Regions from separate parts of the Mus musculus genome. Here all the other regions are reported to be linked to region 2. The links are microRNA targets in miRTarBase. Many come from high-throughput screens and were not tested one by one. Region 2 holds a microRNA gene; each other region holds the end of a gene's coding sequence.
What was found. Region 2 holds the annotated microRNA mmu-miR-200b-3p (UAAUACUGCCUGGUAAUGAUGA, at 1,648-1,669, opposite strand). A microRNA usually pairs through its seed, bases 2 to 8, with sites in the 3' UTR of a target mRNA and lowers its output. Matches are read on the target gene's strand: a 7mer-m8 pairs with bases 2 to 8, a 7mer-A1 pairs with bases 2 to 7 and ends in A, and an 8mer does both.

Region 1 (4,000 bases), not on the chromosome of region 2:
ATTGTAGAGCCCTGTGCATCTGGAATGTTCCTAAAGGCAGGTGAGGGCAATCTCATCCTCTAGTGTCTAGCACAGGCTTCCTGAGCTCTGGCTTTAGTGGGACATGGGCTGTAATCCAGCTTCTTGGGATTTAGCACTGTGAGCCGTGAGAGCTGGGCTCCCCAGCTTCCTGCAGGGTTCCAGTGCCAAGGAACCCACAGTAACCAAGACTTCAACAGAGTGCAGGATATTCCCTCCATGAAATACTATTTTCCTTTTGCTTCTCCAGTATGCAGGCAGGTTTGGGATTACTTTCTTAAGTTCCCCAATGCTTTTCAGTCCCCTCATGCTTTCATATATATACATATACACACACACACATACATGCATATATATATATATATATATATATATATATATTTATATATATATATATATTTGTGATTATTTTCCTACATAAAACTCCTGTTTAAAATAATTTATGACAGACTTTCCTGGTAAACAGCTTCAGATATGGATGTAGTTTTATTTTTCTTCAAGAGTCAGCCACCATATTTAAAAGAAATTTCTTGAAAACTATCTGGCACATTGCTCCTTTCCATCAACAATTTAATGAAATAAGGTTAACCTTCAAGCAACCACTCATATAGTCTTTGATTTTTTTTATTCACTTAGATATTCATGCACAAACTCTTTTCTGTTTCCATTATCCATTTACCAATCCATTCGCTGACACTTAGAATACATTCTTGAGGTCCAGGAGTGATGAAAGGGAAAATAGTAGACAGATGTTGAAATTAAAAGCATCATAGATGCTTTCCAGGACCTAGTTCTTTAATTTGTGTTTTAATTCACTCTTTGAGATTCATTTCTTCTTAACATAATTTTATGATGATCAAGCCCGAGTCATACACAGAAACTGCTGATACTAACTCATGAAATTAGACTCAGTTGAATGTAAAACCTGAGCATCTAGCTTTAATGCCAAACATTTAAAACTGATCTTACCAAAAGGAAACCTAATAAGGGTTTAGTATTAAAAGATGACATTGAAGACAAATGAGGAATTTGGAGGAGGCTGTCGCTTACTTCTTAAATCCCTAAGACTGAAAATACCTATTACTCAGATATTTCATTTGTTATGTAGAAAAGTAACCCAAGATGAGATTATTTCAGCTCTATGAAAACTGGAATCTAGAAATAATATCATCTAAAAAAAGTCTTTAAGTACTTTTGGCTTTTAATAAAAAAGATTAACATTGTTGTGGAGCAAGATTTGTCTACTGTTTATTGACATTACTGAGTTACAGAAACAAAGGCATGCTTTTTTTCTGAATGTGTGCTTGATGTGTGGTACTGTCAAGGGCTTTGTCCCTTCTATAACTTTATAGGAAAAATCACCTATGAAATAAACAGATCTTAGTTATTTTATCCTTTCAATTTCAATTAGAGAAATATTTCTCTTCATAGGTATAATGTGCTATACCTGTGTTTTGTAATTTTCATTTGTTTGCCTGTTGGGTGTGAAATCACTAAGCAAAGGGGAATTGGTCCTAATGTTAATGAATTTAACATACAAAAGTATTGGATTGCCTGCCAATGCCTCTGATGACCAACTGAATAATGTCCTAATAGTTATTGGAGTCTTCGGTGGCATAAGGCTGTAGGGGAGCTCTTCAGAGCTTACTTTCCTAAAGATATGCCCAGACAAGAATGGGGGAAATGCTTCTCTCTGGGGTTACTTGTGAAGTAGTGTAGAACACACAGCTGGGAGCCATGGATTCACCCATGACACAGAGAACCCGGAAGCTGTGAGTACTAGGTAAGAAGTGCTATTTCCACTGCTTTCTCCATCTGCCATTGATGCACACTAAGGATGTAACATCAGATGTTCCTTCTGATGCTTTTGAGCAATCATGTTGCAAAGTGCAGCATGGTGGTGAGTGTTACCACTAAGCAGTGTAGTCACACTTGCACGGGCAGTGGTTTCCAGAGGCATCACACACTCTGGAAATCTCCACAGCTGCTCAAGTTCTAGAGTGCAAGCTGAAGTAGGCTGACCTGACATCCCTGAAGTGTTTTCCCTTACAAAGGCTGCCTTCTTGTGAGTCACATGGAAGACACTTGGCACTATCATGAGCCTCTGCTTTGCTGTGTGGTGTGGATGCACAGACAGCTGAGAATAATTCCCAGGTTTCCGCTTCTTTCTTGTTAGCTTTTAAACTTTTGGCCCTTAAAAATTTGGAACCTCTGGTACGGCTGGAAAATGAAAAAGGATTCAATGTCCTTAACAGCCCCTACAATGGTTTACTTTTTGGGATTAATTGGAACGTTAACATATATGCTGAATATAATTTTTTAAACTGAGGTCTGATTGTAAGCATTAATTGAGTGGTCCGAATATCTGTGGTAAAAAGACGATGGTTTATAGTCACTGATTGCATTTAGACTGTTCTATGGAATTTAAATCCATTACAGAATACTAAAATCTGTCAAATGGGGACACCTCTAATCTCAGTTTGTTGTTGCTGTTGTTCTTATTGCTTCTGCTGCTGTTTCTAGTCACAGTAGTGTGGTGTGGTGTCCTAGGCTGATATGCCTTGAAAATAAGTGAGTAAGGCTGAATTAAATGAAACACTGGCTGTCACAGCCATTTTTGGGGGAAACTTGCCAACAGACATGAACAGGGAACTGATGATAAAGTGTTGCTATTTACTGTGTGACAATTAGAGCTAGATATTTTACCTGGTGCTCAGGGTGAAAAAAAAGCCCAGACCATCAAACGTCTCCAACAATTTGGAATTTTATTCCATCCATGTACATGCATAGTAACAACATTTGTTGAGAAATTATTTCTATCAGAAGTAGAACATTATCTTTGTGATCACCAGGTGCAGTATTGCTACTCTTATATTTAAATAGATCTTATATATGAATTAAATTCATACTTGCAGCATTGAGTTTAGGGGTTCGATTTAGACTGTGCCTTTCAAAAGATAAAACTGGTGAATACTACTCCATTACTGACAATACTGCTTCCAGTAATTTTGTTCATTCTTTATAAAGTATTGCATTTAACAGCAAAGGTTGAAAAATTGAGACAGGGCTGCATCGGCGAAAGAAAATACAAGTACTATACAAGAAAGAAATGCCATCTTCACTTAACATACATGTTTCTGTTTGAGAAAATGGACAGAAATATACGGCTACATACGAATGCAAAGCCTAGTGACTAAGAGACTGTATTTGCTAAAATATAAAGTGCAATTGGAGCCTGATTATCCAAGAATTGAAATCTTAAGGCGAACTTATAGCATGTGTATTTAGAACATGTTTGCAGGTTATATTTTAGCATATACGAATATCTGCAACAGCATATAAGAAAAAATCAGAATACACAAGTGCTTTTGAAGCTATTTCTAAAATGCTCTTCTGTATTGTTTGTGACTATTTTCTTTAAAAGCTACTATACAGTGCAAACCATATGTGCTACACAAGAACTATACAATCATTACAAATGACTTTAATATAAAGTTTTTAAATAAAAATAACATAACCACAGCTATGAATACTGCTGGTAAAATAAATTAATTTTTTTTTCTGAAAATGGCACCAATAATACACTTTACTAATGGTCTGTAATGAAATTACACCTTAAGTCTTCAATTCAGCCATAATGAATTATCTCCTGATTGCCAGATGTAATTCAAACAGCGTCTTTGTTTTCTGGACTGTTTAGAAGAACATACTAAACACGGGTACCAAAGGTGACTGCTTTCTTTAGTAACTCAGTTAGTTCATTTGACATGTTCTGCTGCATGTGATGAGCAATAAAACTTCTTGTGAGTTATAAAGTTCGAAAGATTATTGAACTGAATATCGCATAGCCGGCAGTATTTTCCACTGCTGGGAGCCTGGCTGGCGCCATTCACACCTTTTGCTATGCTAGACAACTGTTCTTCTGCGCAGGGAATTCCTGGGGAGACATTCTCATTTGCAGCTAATGGGTTCTCAGAGATCC
Region 2 (4,341 bases):
GGAAGGCCAGGGTTGGCTTCCTGCCTGCTCTGGTCCAAGGGCCATTCTTGGGGTTCACCCTTCTAGGACCTGGGACTACTCTAAGGACTTTCTTACCAGGGCCCAGCTTGGTTGCCTGTTCCTCAAGTGTGGAAGTCTGTGGGTGCAACAGGAGAGTCATCTGCTCACTCTTACTTGGCAAATGCTCGTCATAGCACCTCTTTGGTTTTCTGAATGGCTGTCAGCTTAATGAGTAACATTAAAGCCAGGAACAGACTCCTTCCCCCGGAAGAGTCATCTAGGCTGATACTGGGTGGGGCTCCCTGACCCTGTACTCTGGCTCCAAGTAAAGAAAGATAAGAAGTAATCCTGGATTCTGGTTTGGGGCAAAGTTCCTATTCTGGAAAGCCATTGGGAAGGAATAGAGATTCCTTGTTCTTAATTAGGAAACAGCTGATGACGTCACAATTCTGTGTACCAGGCTCAGGTCCCCGAACCCACCCTTGCCCATTGGTCCCATAGGCACTGACAGTCCTTATGCTAACACTGCTATCCATGTCTCCTTACCTAGCTCAGCATCCTCACTAACCCTCACAGTCTCTCTAGGAATCAATGAACCCCCAAATCCAGCAGAGGAGTTGGCAAAGGTGGGCATCGCTGCTCTGAGAATGAGTGACAATCCACTTCTACTCCAGTACCCCTGGCATGGTGAAACCATCCCTTGTCCCAGCATGAAGTAATAGACAAGGGTCAAAGTCCAGCCCCCACTGACTGCTGATCTGTAGAGCTGAGACAGGCCCTCTGCACCCAGCACCCAGCCTCGGCCTAACTGGAGTCCAGGAGGACAAGTGTGTATCATCAGCCTGTCTTCGGCGAATGGTGGGTCACCTTTGAACATCGTTACCAGACAGTGTTAGAGTCAAGCCAAGAAATCCAGCACTGTCCGGTAAGATGCCCACAGAGGCCCAGGTATGCTCTGGCAGGAAGACACAGGTGGTTTCCACCCTCAGGGAGGCCCAGTGGAAACCTGATGCCATGAACAGCCAGAGACCGTATATGCATCGCAATAAGCCAGCAGAGATGTTGACCCTAACTCATACGGTCTGCTTTGTCCAAAGCAAGGGGACAGTGACACATTGGCTCAGTGTGCATGTTGGAGGTGCTGTTGGTCAATAGGTCGGTGCTCACTTGATGCAGGAAGGTAAGGTATCCCAGGCTTGAGTAGCCCCACTAGGGGGTCAATCAGTACACAGCTCCTAGATGTAGGTGAGGCAGTTTTTGGCATGAGGCCCTCTGAGCCTAGGCGGAGACTTAGCCCTTTAGAGCCTTTGCTGCACTTCCACCCAGCGTACACCTGCCAGGTGTGGTGGCAGCACCTGCCTGGGTATTGTATGCAGAACCCAGGCACTTGACTGTCCTAATTCCCAGGGCATTGGGAGGGGGCGCCCCCAGGGCAATGGGAGGAGCCTCTCACCCCAGGATATAGAGTGGCCCTCAGAGGTGCCTGGTTTGGGGGAACTCTCCCTAAAGCCTCCCACCACCCATATCGCCAAGGCTAACTCTTTGCCCCATAGCCCTACCTTGGATAAGGTAGGTGAGGTGTGGAACTGGGGCCCCTGGAGGCTGGGATCAGGAGGCGGCTCCATTGCTGCATGCAGGGCTCCGCCGTCATCATTACCAGGCAGTATTAGAGATCAGACACTATCCAATGCTGCCCAGTAAGATGGCCACGGCTGCCCAAGTTGGATATGGAGGCCGCCTAGCAGGGAGTTGAAGATGACTAGATTCCATGGGCAGGGCCCAGATGCCTAAGTGTCCTAATCCCCAGAGCATTGCAGAAGGAGGGCACCCCTTCAGGACAACAGCAGAAAGCCCTGCATTCTCATCTCCAAAGATAGGTAGTGGAGAGGTCAACAGCTTGAAGTAAGATCAAGTTCTCTTTTGGAAATTAGATGGAAAATAATTAGGATGGGGGTCTTATAGGCCCTGAAGCCTCTTTCTTGCCTCTCTATAAGGCCCAGAGGAAGGACTTAGCACCCATGGCCATAGACAAGTTCCCCTGCCCAGCCAAACCTGACCTGCAGTGGACTAGCTTGGGGCCCAGGTGAGGACTTTGAAGGGTCAAATAGTCCTTCCCAGAGGCTGACAGCCCGAAAGAGCTGGGAGGCAGGCTATGTAGACTTCCATGTGACCAATGGCCAGGTCAGGATCAGGTCATAGACAGGCCCTCCATCTGAGTATATTCACTACAGAATAGCCTAGACAACAGGTCCAGTCCCATTAGGGTACACAGTGTACTTAAGGTTGATGAGGTTCACTCAGTGGGCCTCTGTCTCCAGGATACTGTTCAAGTCTACTTTCCTGCCCAGCCCCTCTTGCCTTTTTCAGGGCCCAAGAAGGATACTGGGATGAGGGACCAGGGATCCAACACTTCAAGCGTATGGGAAAAGCAGCCCCCAGTATGAATACAATAATCACATACCCATAGAAAGATCTTTTTGTTGCTAAGGACATAGCCTGTAGTCTCCCATACAGAGCCAAGAAACTAAGCACCTGTCCCAAGGATACTTGGGACTGAAAGAGACTCAATCTGTGCCTCTCCTCATCCCAAGTCCGTCTTTACAGAAGTATTTCTTCTCGTTTTTCTGGTCTTTTCTATCACAGACACAATACAGGTGGCTCAAGCCCTGTACTGATTTCCTCGGATCACAACGAAGGCGTGTGTCACTGCCTCCAGGCAGCCGCTAGTTCTCCAGCCTCTCTCCTGAAAGCCAACATTTCTGAGGACCTGACCTGAGCACAGGCTGAGCAGATGGGAATGGACACTCTATAGGAGCCTAAGGTTTTAGAAACTGTCCTAACTCTTCGTCTATCGCCTACAAGGTTCCCAGTGCTCTCAAACACCCGTCAGATATACTTCCCCTTTCCCGAACTTTTTTAGTTCTATCCTATCAGATTCATAAAACCGGTGCTTCAAAAGGACTTTCTCTCTCTCTCTCTCTCTCTCTCTCTCTCTCTCTCTCTCTGAGCTTTGGCAAACTAAGGATTCTATTTGAGAACTAAGTGGACTAAGCAGAATTTCAGTTATCCTTGTGGCTTCAGAGCCACAAAGAGTGTGGGAGCTGGGTGAGGGTAAGCACCAAGGATGTTGCCTTTCCCCCTTCTGGTTGTGCCAAAGAAACAGGGAAGACGAAATGGTATCTAATGATGAGCCTGATCCCTGCATCCTTGACTACTCAGGGTGAGCACTTCTTAGGGAACATGGGAGGCTAGGGGACTCTGCCAAGTGCATAGCTGGCCCGGGCATAAGCCAAAAGGTCAGATATATGGGGGCAGGTGCTCAGACAGCAGTGTGTGTGTGTGTGTGTGTGTACAACCTTCAAAATGCAGATTCTGTAGGTCCTCCAGCAAAATTTAAAGGCTGAACAGATTCTAAAAGTCATGAGTTGGGACTGGGTGTCTTGGTGTCCAAGCACTGTTGAGTATGGGGGACCCTGCTTTATCCAGCATAGGGGGAAGGGAGAGACAAAAACATGACAGAATTACAGCCATAGGTCAAGAAATGAAAAGCAAAAACAGGGGTTCTATTTGGAGCCTGTGTGGTGCCCATCTGGTCAGTTGTATCTGAAAGTGAGGTTCAGGTCATGGTCCCCACAGCTAATTATCAGCATCTACTAGGCTTAGTTTAGGAAAATTAAGGAATGGATCCAGAAGCCAAGTGCCCCCAAGGCTCCTCTGCAGCAAGCACCCTCCCCCTTTCCAGAGTGCCTTGATCCTCGCCTGCGAGGCCAGGGAAGGTTGGGAATTTGTGGCAGAGGAACGCGTTCCCAGTGTGGGAAGTTGCTGGTTAACTTGCTCAAGGGGCCTTAATCAATGCTGAGGCCAGAGAACAAAGCTCTGAAAGTCAACCTCTCCTAACTTCGATGCCAGCGGCTGTGGGAGGGGGAGGGTGGGGGCAGGAAAGACTTGTCTTGTCTACACTCAGGCTACCTCTTAGTGGCTGTTGGAACTGCGTGTCTTCAAGGCAAAGCCGCCATTTCATCCACACAGCCGTCAGCATTGTCCCTTAGCCCTTCGGTTGTATAGCTCACCCTCCAGGTCCACTGCACCCCTGAGTGCCAGCCTCCTGCGACCGGGGAACTTCCTTAGGCCATTTTACACACTAAGAACATCCTGGCAAATTGATTTTGCAAATAAAGTATTTGCAAATTACCAAGATGCCTGAAAATTAACAATGGACTATATCCATATTTTATGGCTCATTTGCATTTTCATAAATGCAAAACATTTTGCTTGATTCAACAATCTACCGATTGCTCCAACATTTTTATCTAGGTTACCAGAAAAACAAAACAAAGTTGA
Region 3 (4,000 bases), not on the chromosome of region 2:
TGGGAGCCCGTGGTCCTGTCTCTGGGACTGTCCCAGACCGACATCTACCGCTGCAAGGCCAACCATCCCCACAACGTGCATTCGCAGGTGGTGGAGGCCTTTGTCCGCTGGCGCCAGCGTTTTGGGAAGCAGGCCACCTTCCTAAGCTTACACAAGGGCCTCCAGGCAGTGGAGGCTGATCCCTCCCTGCTCCAGCACATGCTGGAGTGACCTGACCCCCCCCCGCGCCCCCCCCCCACTTGCTGTGGGGGTGGTGGGGCGTGGGTTCCCAAGTCACACTGGCTGAACCGGACTTTTCTCAGCAGGTGGCTTTGTTCTGGGCTTTTCAGTGATCTGTTTACGGAAAGAGATCGTCCACCACTCACTCAACCATCGATTGGCTTTAATTGCTTGAAGACTGCGCTGTTGTAACTATGGTTTGGAACTTTGTGGCTGGCCTTTAACAGGAGGCCAGAAAAAACACAACACCCACCCTACCCAACCCCCCAAAAAATCATGCTACAGCATCGAATGCAGGTGTCCTGCATACAAGGCAGCTACACTTGTGTTGCCTGGAGACTGGATTGTGCATTTAGCTCTTCATAATGGTGATGATAATAAAAAAGCAAATTGTGATATAGAATGTGCCTCTTTCAATGAGAGAGTATTATATCACACACACACACACACACACACACACACATACACACACACACACCACTCTTCTGTTGCATAGACGGAGGGTGTAAAAATATGGGAGTGGAGCAAGATTGATAGCAGTCATGTGACGACGGAGATAAATAACTCAGGCAGGATGTATAGATTAAGCATGAGACACCGAAGCTCCCTGCAGAGGCCAGGGAGAGAACGGAAGACCTTCATCTTAACAAATTGTATGAGGAGTCTCTGTCCATTTGTTAAAGGCATTGGATCAGAGACAAGAGGGCTCAGTGTTTCTCTTGAGGCCTGAATGGCTGAAGGCGGTGAGTTCCCGAGGGGCGTCATGGGTTGTCCAGCCTTTCATTAACTGCACATAGTGTTAGCCAGACAGGTGTACGTGTTTGTCATCCCATCTAAGAGACTGAAGCAGGAGGATCACCTGTACATGACTGCTTCTTTCAACATTTTAAAATGTGTAACTTCTATTAAATTCTCTCAGTGCAAATAAAGTGCGTGTCCATTGTGTCCTTTCAAAAACCTAACAATAGATAAGATGAGGAGAAGCAAGAGTCTCCTTGTACTCCCCGCAGTCAGTCAGCTTTGCTCTGCTCTGCCGTCAGTTTCTTAGTTAAGCCCGCCCGCACATCCCTTCTGCAGCTGGAGCAGGATTGCCCTGTAAGGCTCTTTAACACTTGGCTTCCTTGCCTTAACACATAGCACTTGTTCCAATGCCAAAGGCCTTTACAACATCCTTTGCTCTTAGAGCACACTTGCAAGAGCTATCGTTTTGGCAGCACCTTTAAAGAGATTGAAGGCACTCAGCTTCTAAGTCTACCAACTGCTTTCCCCATCAAGAAGTTCGCTGGCATTGCAGTTCTTGCTTGACACACCCATAACCCCACCCCACCCAGAACCAATCCGAGCAAACTATTGTTCACTGCCTGCACTGTGCACCTTGCATCCTCACAAAGCTTAGCATGTCTGCATTCTGAGTTTTGTCCCTTGCCCCAAGATGTCCTCTCCACTGTACTACATCTAATTACCGCTGTGTTTCTTTTCTTCAAGAGAATGTTAGGGGAGGGACAGTCAACACAGAAGTTGCACACAGCCCCTCTGCTTCCTGAGGGTGTATGCGCAATTGACAGTTGCCGGAGGGAGAGACTGGCAGTATAGTTGTCACCTGTAAGTGTCCCTGTGACTTCTCACCATTGTCCTCACAAGTAGTCCTAGTAAAACTCATTCTTGTACCAGTCCAGATTTGGGTGGAGTGGTTTCTTTGGTCTGTCATCTTCAGAAGCCCTCTCTGAGGCACACAGACATTTGCTCAGATCTTTCCGGAAAAGCTAATGCGGCTGAGAGGCTAATCTCATCTCTGTTAATTGAGGACATTAAAGCCGACCAACAAAGACACAAGCCCTACTCTCTGGAGCTCACTGCCACATGAGACAGCCACAGACCTCTAATCACAACATGATGTGACAATTCCACTCCTGAGTACTGAGCCAGTGGGAACAGAGCAAAAGGACCCCCTCTGGTTTGCTTTTGAGGGGATGGGGGGCCTGAAGAAAAAGAAGGCTCCGTCACTCAGGTAAATCACTCCACCTTCTTGGGCAGGTTTATTCACGTATGCACACTAACTGGTCTATGAGTGCAGAGGATCTGCCAGAGGTAAAAAAGATAAATTGTTCATACAGTGGGTTTGGACAAGGAAATGTCTGAGCTGAATTATTTTGGCTACTGAGTTTTGTTTTGTTTTGTTTTGTTTTGTTTTCCCTAATATTCTTTATCAAGCCAGGGTCCCTCAAAATGTTAGGCTGAGGTCCCTCATCCTTCTGGGGCTTGTACAGCAGCTGAGAGTGTGCAGCTCTTCTGGGCATCCCTAGGGACTCAGGGTAAGGAAAAATGAACTGGCAGCACACGGCAGAGCATGTCCAGAACCTGGGTGGGACTCTGATCTAACACTTAGCTCTCATTAAATGAATCCCTACAGTTGGGGCACAAATTCTTGCTGGTTACAAAACACCCAAGTTACTGGAGATCCGAAGATAAATAAGACACAGTCTCTGCCCAGCAGGATCTCGGCCCTCCAGGAAGGCAGCCATAACAGCCAGGCAACTCTGACACTTCACAGAAAAGGGAGCAATTAAGTTGGCCACAGAGGAGATGACACTTCGGCTGAGCTCTTGTAAGCCCTGCCCAAGTTAGCGTGATAGCCCCCCCCTTAGGGGATATTAGGAGACACCAGAATTCCATTTAATGTCTTCTTCATCCAGCTTGACAAATGGCACTCCTTCCAAATGTCTACAAGATGCATATGCCTCCAAAATGCTATCTCGGAGCCATTAGAAACTAAACACATTGACAAATACCATCCTGTTCCATACTTCTTTATAGCAGTGGAGTGTTCAGCCACAGTAAAATCAGGATCAGGCTTCAAGGATTTAGGTATCAGGCATATTTGAGGGTGCTTTTTATAGCACCCCTCTCTCCCCCACCCCAACACTTGTACAAATTCAAAATAGATGTTGCAGCATACAGGGAATGTTTTTAATATAATGTCTTGTTTACTTCCCTGAACTATAAACATCTGAGAGGAACAGGGACGTCTGTCTTGTTGGCACTTACTGTTCTTATAGGAAAATTAAAGTCTCTCAAAGACACAGTTCAGTGAGCCAATTAAACCTTGTCTCTGCTTTGTTAAGCTCACGAGAAACATATGGTAGTGATTCTGATAGCTATTGTTCATTCAAAGCATCAGCTATGAAATCCAGGTTTGAATGCTCAGAAAGAAAAAGCAGATTCAACATCTTGGCAATAAGCATGTATTTCCATCTCATTTTCGTATTTTATCTCTAGCCAGTGCTGTTTTGGGTGTCACATTACATTCTTGATGGAGAGTATTTTCGGAAAATGTAAAATGGGCTGGATGTCATGAAATAATTATTCTTTTTGCTCTTGGTGACACTTAACCGTCCCTGTTTCTAGGGAGACAAATTGGTGTTGTGAGCACCTTGCCAGTGCCAATGACTTCGAGGTGACTTAGCTCAGTGCTGACCCCGGATGAGGCTGGATGCCTCCTCATGGCTAAGCTGGAAATAGATGGCAATGACCTCGCGCCTCTGGAACACACTTTGACCAAGGATGAGGCATCTGCGCAGGGGATGTCTATGAAGGCCCAGAACATCTGCCGTAGGAAGTGGTTCTTCTCCATTGAAGGGCACAGATTTCTTCCTTTACAAATATTAGAAAATGATAGAGACTTTCTTCAGAAAACACATTGAGCACTTGCACACTCTGATGTGCACAGATGCAGACATGTACGTATAATGTTCTACACAGACATGTTGACATATAATTTTGA
Region 4 (4,000 bases), not on the chromosome of region 2:
CTTAAGAGTGCAGTCTGAGGCAGGAGAGAAGAGCAACTAGTTTTTACATAGCTAACCTGGGTCATTTCTGTGCCACACTTTGGAGGCTTATGGAAGAGAGGCAGGGACGTTCCTAGTTTTTCTAGGTTTCTCTTAATGTGTCATTTTTAAGGAGGAACAACATCAAAGAGAGCTCTCTCTCCTTCGCAAAAGACTGGAAGAACTGGAGACTACACAAAGAAAACAACTGGAGGAGCTTGGGTCTCCTGGGGAGTGAAGCCTGAAGACAGGCAAAGCCAGAGACTCAATAAAAGTCTGACGGGTAACGTGTGGCACTGAGACGCCTTCTTCCTGTTTGCCAAAATCCATGAGCTGCCTCAAGAAAAGGTACTAGCAGCGCACTGCATGGGCTCCAAGATTTTAGGATTATACTAAGAAAATGAAAGTATTCATATATTTAGAACATGCATTGACAATCTTTTGACAATGCAAAAATAAAAGGAACTAGTTAGTTAAAAAAATCAAGTTTTCAAATTAATTTCTGTTTTGTTGATATTTTCTGGCATTTTGCTTGAAATATATCCACCCTGAAGTCCCTTTTCCTCATCTTTGAGATGCCTCCTTGGTAATGACAAAACCAATAAACATCTCCTTTATTATATATAAAAGTTTTGGAAAAGATAATCATTTATAAGTATAAAAACCACTTAAAAGTTTCTAAACATGTTTATTATAGAAATCTTTACCTTTTCTAAAAGCTGTGCACTTAATTTATTGAATAACTTAATAAATATTTTTGTATCTCTGCTGTTTGTGTTTAATTTTCCTGATCATAGAATATGTACTAAACAGTTGAGATGGCATCACTTCTGTGGCTTTGGTGAGTTTTAGAAAATGAAGTCCTGTGGCTGTAAAGAGTTGTTGGTCTTACTTGAAGCAGTGAGGTATTGAAGTACCGCTGACATTTAGTTTGGTTTCTCACTGTTAGGTAAGGATCAAATAATGATGTTTTATGTCCTTCTGTTTTCATTGTGCATCTTTGGAAGCTTCTTTATGTAATGTTTTAGAGGGATTCCACTGGAATAATTTCATGTCAGCAAACGGAAGCTTAAATTTATGTGGATTTGTCATTGTATAGACGTCTCAGCAGCCAAAAGTCAGGTTGCTCACTGAAGACAGGAATATAAGTGAGCAGCTCTTGGCGCCATTTAGCAAGGAGCTTGGTTTACTGAGCGGAGCTGCTTATTTATATGCAATGTACCGTGACATCTTGTTCCTGGAAAGTAATTTAGGTTAAGAAACCTATTAAAACTAGAAAAGACAAACAGTCCACATTTGTTACATCAAAATGTTTATTTTTGGATATAGACATTTAAAACATTCATCTCCAAGAACAACTTCAGTCAGGTATACAGTAAGAAATAGACTTTAAATCCTAATACAGAAAAGATAACAGAAGTAATTTTTAAGTGCTGCTTTAGACACTAGTGTTAGAAAAAAAAGTTTATAAATTAATTGTTTTGCACCAAAAATATGCAAAGAAACTTGAAACTAGATACTGTTTGTCATTTGCTTCTTTAGTTGTTGAATAGAGGCCCAGTGACTGATTGTCTTCAGCACACATCTAATTTGGACATTCTGTGCATTTGGCTAATGGGATCCAAAGTGTGATCTAGATAGTGCTTTCCACTGGAGGATTGACAAACACACTACATACATTAGTGAATCTTCACACCACCTCAGTGAGGTAGGTTAGAAATAGTATACAGAAATTGAGGCACAAAGAGGTAAGTGACTTGCCCAAAGTTCCTAACTCCTGAAAGAGGCGGTAAGGCTCACACAGGACTCATGTCAGAGAGCTGGACAGGGACCCCCTGGTGTAGCATTTGTAACACAGCTAAAGCTGTGGCTCAGCCTTTGCGTTTCTGTTCCCCAGAGAAGGGAAGGTTTGTTGGGCAATTCTCCTACCCTTGGCTCTCAAGTCTCCTCCAACTTTTCTCTTAGGAATGCCTTCACCTCTTTAAAGACGGTAGCAGCTTTAAATGGGGACCAGACCTCTCACCTTTCTACTTAGAAATAGACTATTTGGTAGTAGTTTTGAGATGTGTCCATTGGACAGACAGTAGTCACAAGAAACAAGATTGGGAGGGCGTCTGTCAGGGCAGCCACTGCACTGTTGAGGTGTCAGATAGTAAGGAAGAGAAAGGACTGCCATTTACCAGGACATTGCAGTCTAGATGGGCCAGGCAGTGCTGGTAAATGGTTTTGAGGAATGTGTGCTCAAGGTTTGATTGGCTGATTGAAAGAAAAGTCCTTCCTAAACTGGGGGTTTGGAACCCCAAGGGTAGGGGTGCCTGCCACAAGGTAAGTGAGAGGGCCGTCAGGTGACACTTTTTACTTCTGTTTAATAGAAGGAAAGCACAGTGGTATTAAAATTGGTCACGAGCAGCAAAAATTTGGGAATAAAAAAATCAGCAATAAAAAAGACTACAGTATAACTTGATAGGAAATTCTTTGAAAAAAAAAAAAAGAGGCACGAATAAAATGAGTATTTTTAAATCTTTCTCCTGTAAGGAATACTTTCAAAAAGTACATAGTAAGACTAAGATACCAAGTTGTACTAATATTTTCCAGGCCTTGGGCCTCAAATATATATATTTATATATAATACTCCAATGTGAACAACAATTTGATGAAATGTAAAATGTATCTTTTATTTTAATCACACACAAGTATTTATAACCACAGGGTTCACCAGAAATCTAAAGCAAGGAGACACTAGCATAGAAATGTAAGATTACAGGAGTGACTTACACATCCACAGACAGTTCTGATCAAACAGAAGTAAAGTCATGAACTCTTTTTCTTACAATACCCAACATGTCCACTACCAGATACATGAAAAGATAAAAAAGAGACACACCGTAGGACAGAGTCTGGGAAAACTGCTGTTGCATTTCAGTGAGACCCACCCACTCTCCTTGCTTTAGAGCTGCGTTGATGAGATGGAGGTGGGCTGAGGAGCCCGGCTGGCAACCACTGAAAAACACGAGCCCTTTCAACAATGTTGCAACACTGTTAGTTTTTGGTTTAAACACACACACTCACGAATGCTAAGTGTACACACTACCAAATTCTGCCTTCAGCCTTTCCAAGAACTACTGGGGAAAGAGGAGGAATGCCGCAGACCCTCAGGGTTGCCCTAACACCCCCTCCGGGTTTCCAAAGGACTCCTTCCACACTCTGAGCTTTGTTAGTATCCCCTTTCTTCTGCAGAAGTACAGTGTAGTCACAAGTACTACATAGCTGTAGTTTTCCAACAAAACCACTTAGATATCATTGTGCTTAAGTGGAGACTGTAGTTACAATACTGACACTTGCTTACTGGCCCTGTATTCTCTGTAAACAAGGAGGCTGTTTGCAACAACCACTTCAGCTCTATTTACAGAAAGGTTCCCACGATATACCCACAGGCACAGTGGTTGATAACGCTTTCTAAAAGCTGTGCATGTGCCTTGGTCTCCTAAAGGACAGTGCTCGAAGTGGAACCCATGTGCAAACTTAAGAAATTAACGACAAAGAGTAGCTCAAGCAGCCAGTTTGCTCCCAAGCTGTCTGAAGAACTTTGTCAAATAAAGCCAGGCCCCAGGGTGCTTACATCCACTTGCATTTCTTCTTTTCATCAAATAAGACTTTTACATGCAAGAGTTGTTTCTGAGCTTCTTCCAGCCCTCGTTCTCTTTCTAGTTTATTTAGAATCTGTTGACAATTAGAACAGTTATTTTACATATTAGAGTTTTAGCAGTACAATTCACAATTCTGGTGGGCTTGCTCTTTCTCTCTCTTTTCTTTTTTGCATTCCTGATGCTGTGAGTGGTAAAAATCTGTATGAAACAGATGCCAGCAGTTTCTTCGATCATTTCCATACTCACTTTGCAAGTTGTTTTGCTAAGTCATTATCACAGGATCAACAACACTTGGGCTTGAAATAGAAGCCCGAAAGAAATACCATCTATTTGCT

Region 1: miRTarBase lists Zfpm2 as a target of mmu-miR-200b-3p. Seed matches in the 3' UTR shown: 7mer-m8 at 3,547-3,553 and 7mer-m8 at 3,008-3,014.
Region 3: the mRNA of Cradd is a reported target of mmu-miR-200b-3p. Seed matches in the 3' UTR shown: 7mer-A1 at 643-649.
Region 4: the mRNA of Plxnc1 is a reported target of mmu-miR-200b-3p. Seed matches in the 3' UTR shown: 7mer-m8 at 3,346-3,352 and 7mer-A1 at 2,645-2,651.

Annotation. Positions count from the first base shown.
Region 1 is chr15:41,103,353-41,107,352 of GRCm38, reverse strand. It overlaps Zfpm2 (zinc finger protein, multitype 2), which reads right to left. Exons shown (of 8, transcript NM_011766.5): 8 at 2,761-4,000. The coding sequence ends at 3,777. Among named protein-coding and RNA genes, the nearest start is that of Gm46502, 69 kb to the left of the region's middle.
Region 2 is chr4:156,054,038-156,058,378 of GRCm38, forward strand. It overlaps Mir200b (microRNA 200b), which reads right to left and starts at 1,713; the gene lies at 1,644-1,713. The region is part of intron 1 of Gm13648 (predicted gene 13648); the gene reads right to left. Mir200a (microRNA 200a) reads right to left here and starts at 948; the gene lies at 859-948.
Region 3 is chr10:95,171,887-95,175,886 of GRCm38, reverse strand. It overlaps Cradd (CASP2 and RIPK1 domain containing adaptor with death domain), which reads left to right. Exons shown (of 3, transcript NM_001330138.1): 3 at 1-1,148. The coding sequence ends at 210. Among named protein-coding and RNA genes, the nearest start is that of Gm29684, 28 kb to the right of the region's middle.
Region 4 is chr10:94,789,553-94,793,552 of GRCm38, forward strand. It overlaps Plxnc1 (plexin C1), which reads right to left. Exons shown (of 31, transcript NM_018797.3): 31 at 1,314-3,738. The coding sequence ends at 3,634. Cep83 (centrosomal protein 83) reads left to right here. Exons shown (of 16, transcript NM_029852.2): 16 at 152-784. The coding sequence ends at 256. Among named protein-coding and RNA genes, the nearest start is that of Cep83, 100 kb to the left of the region's middle.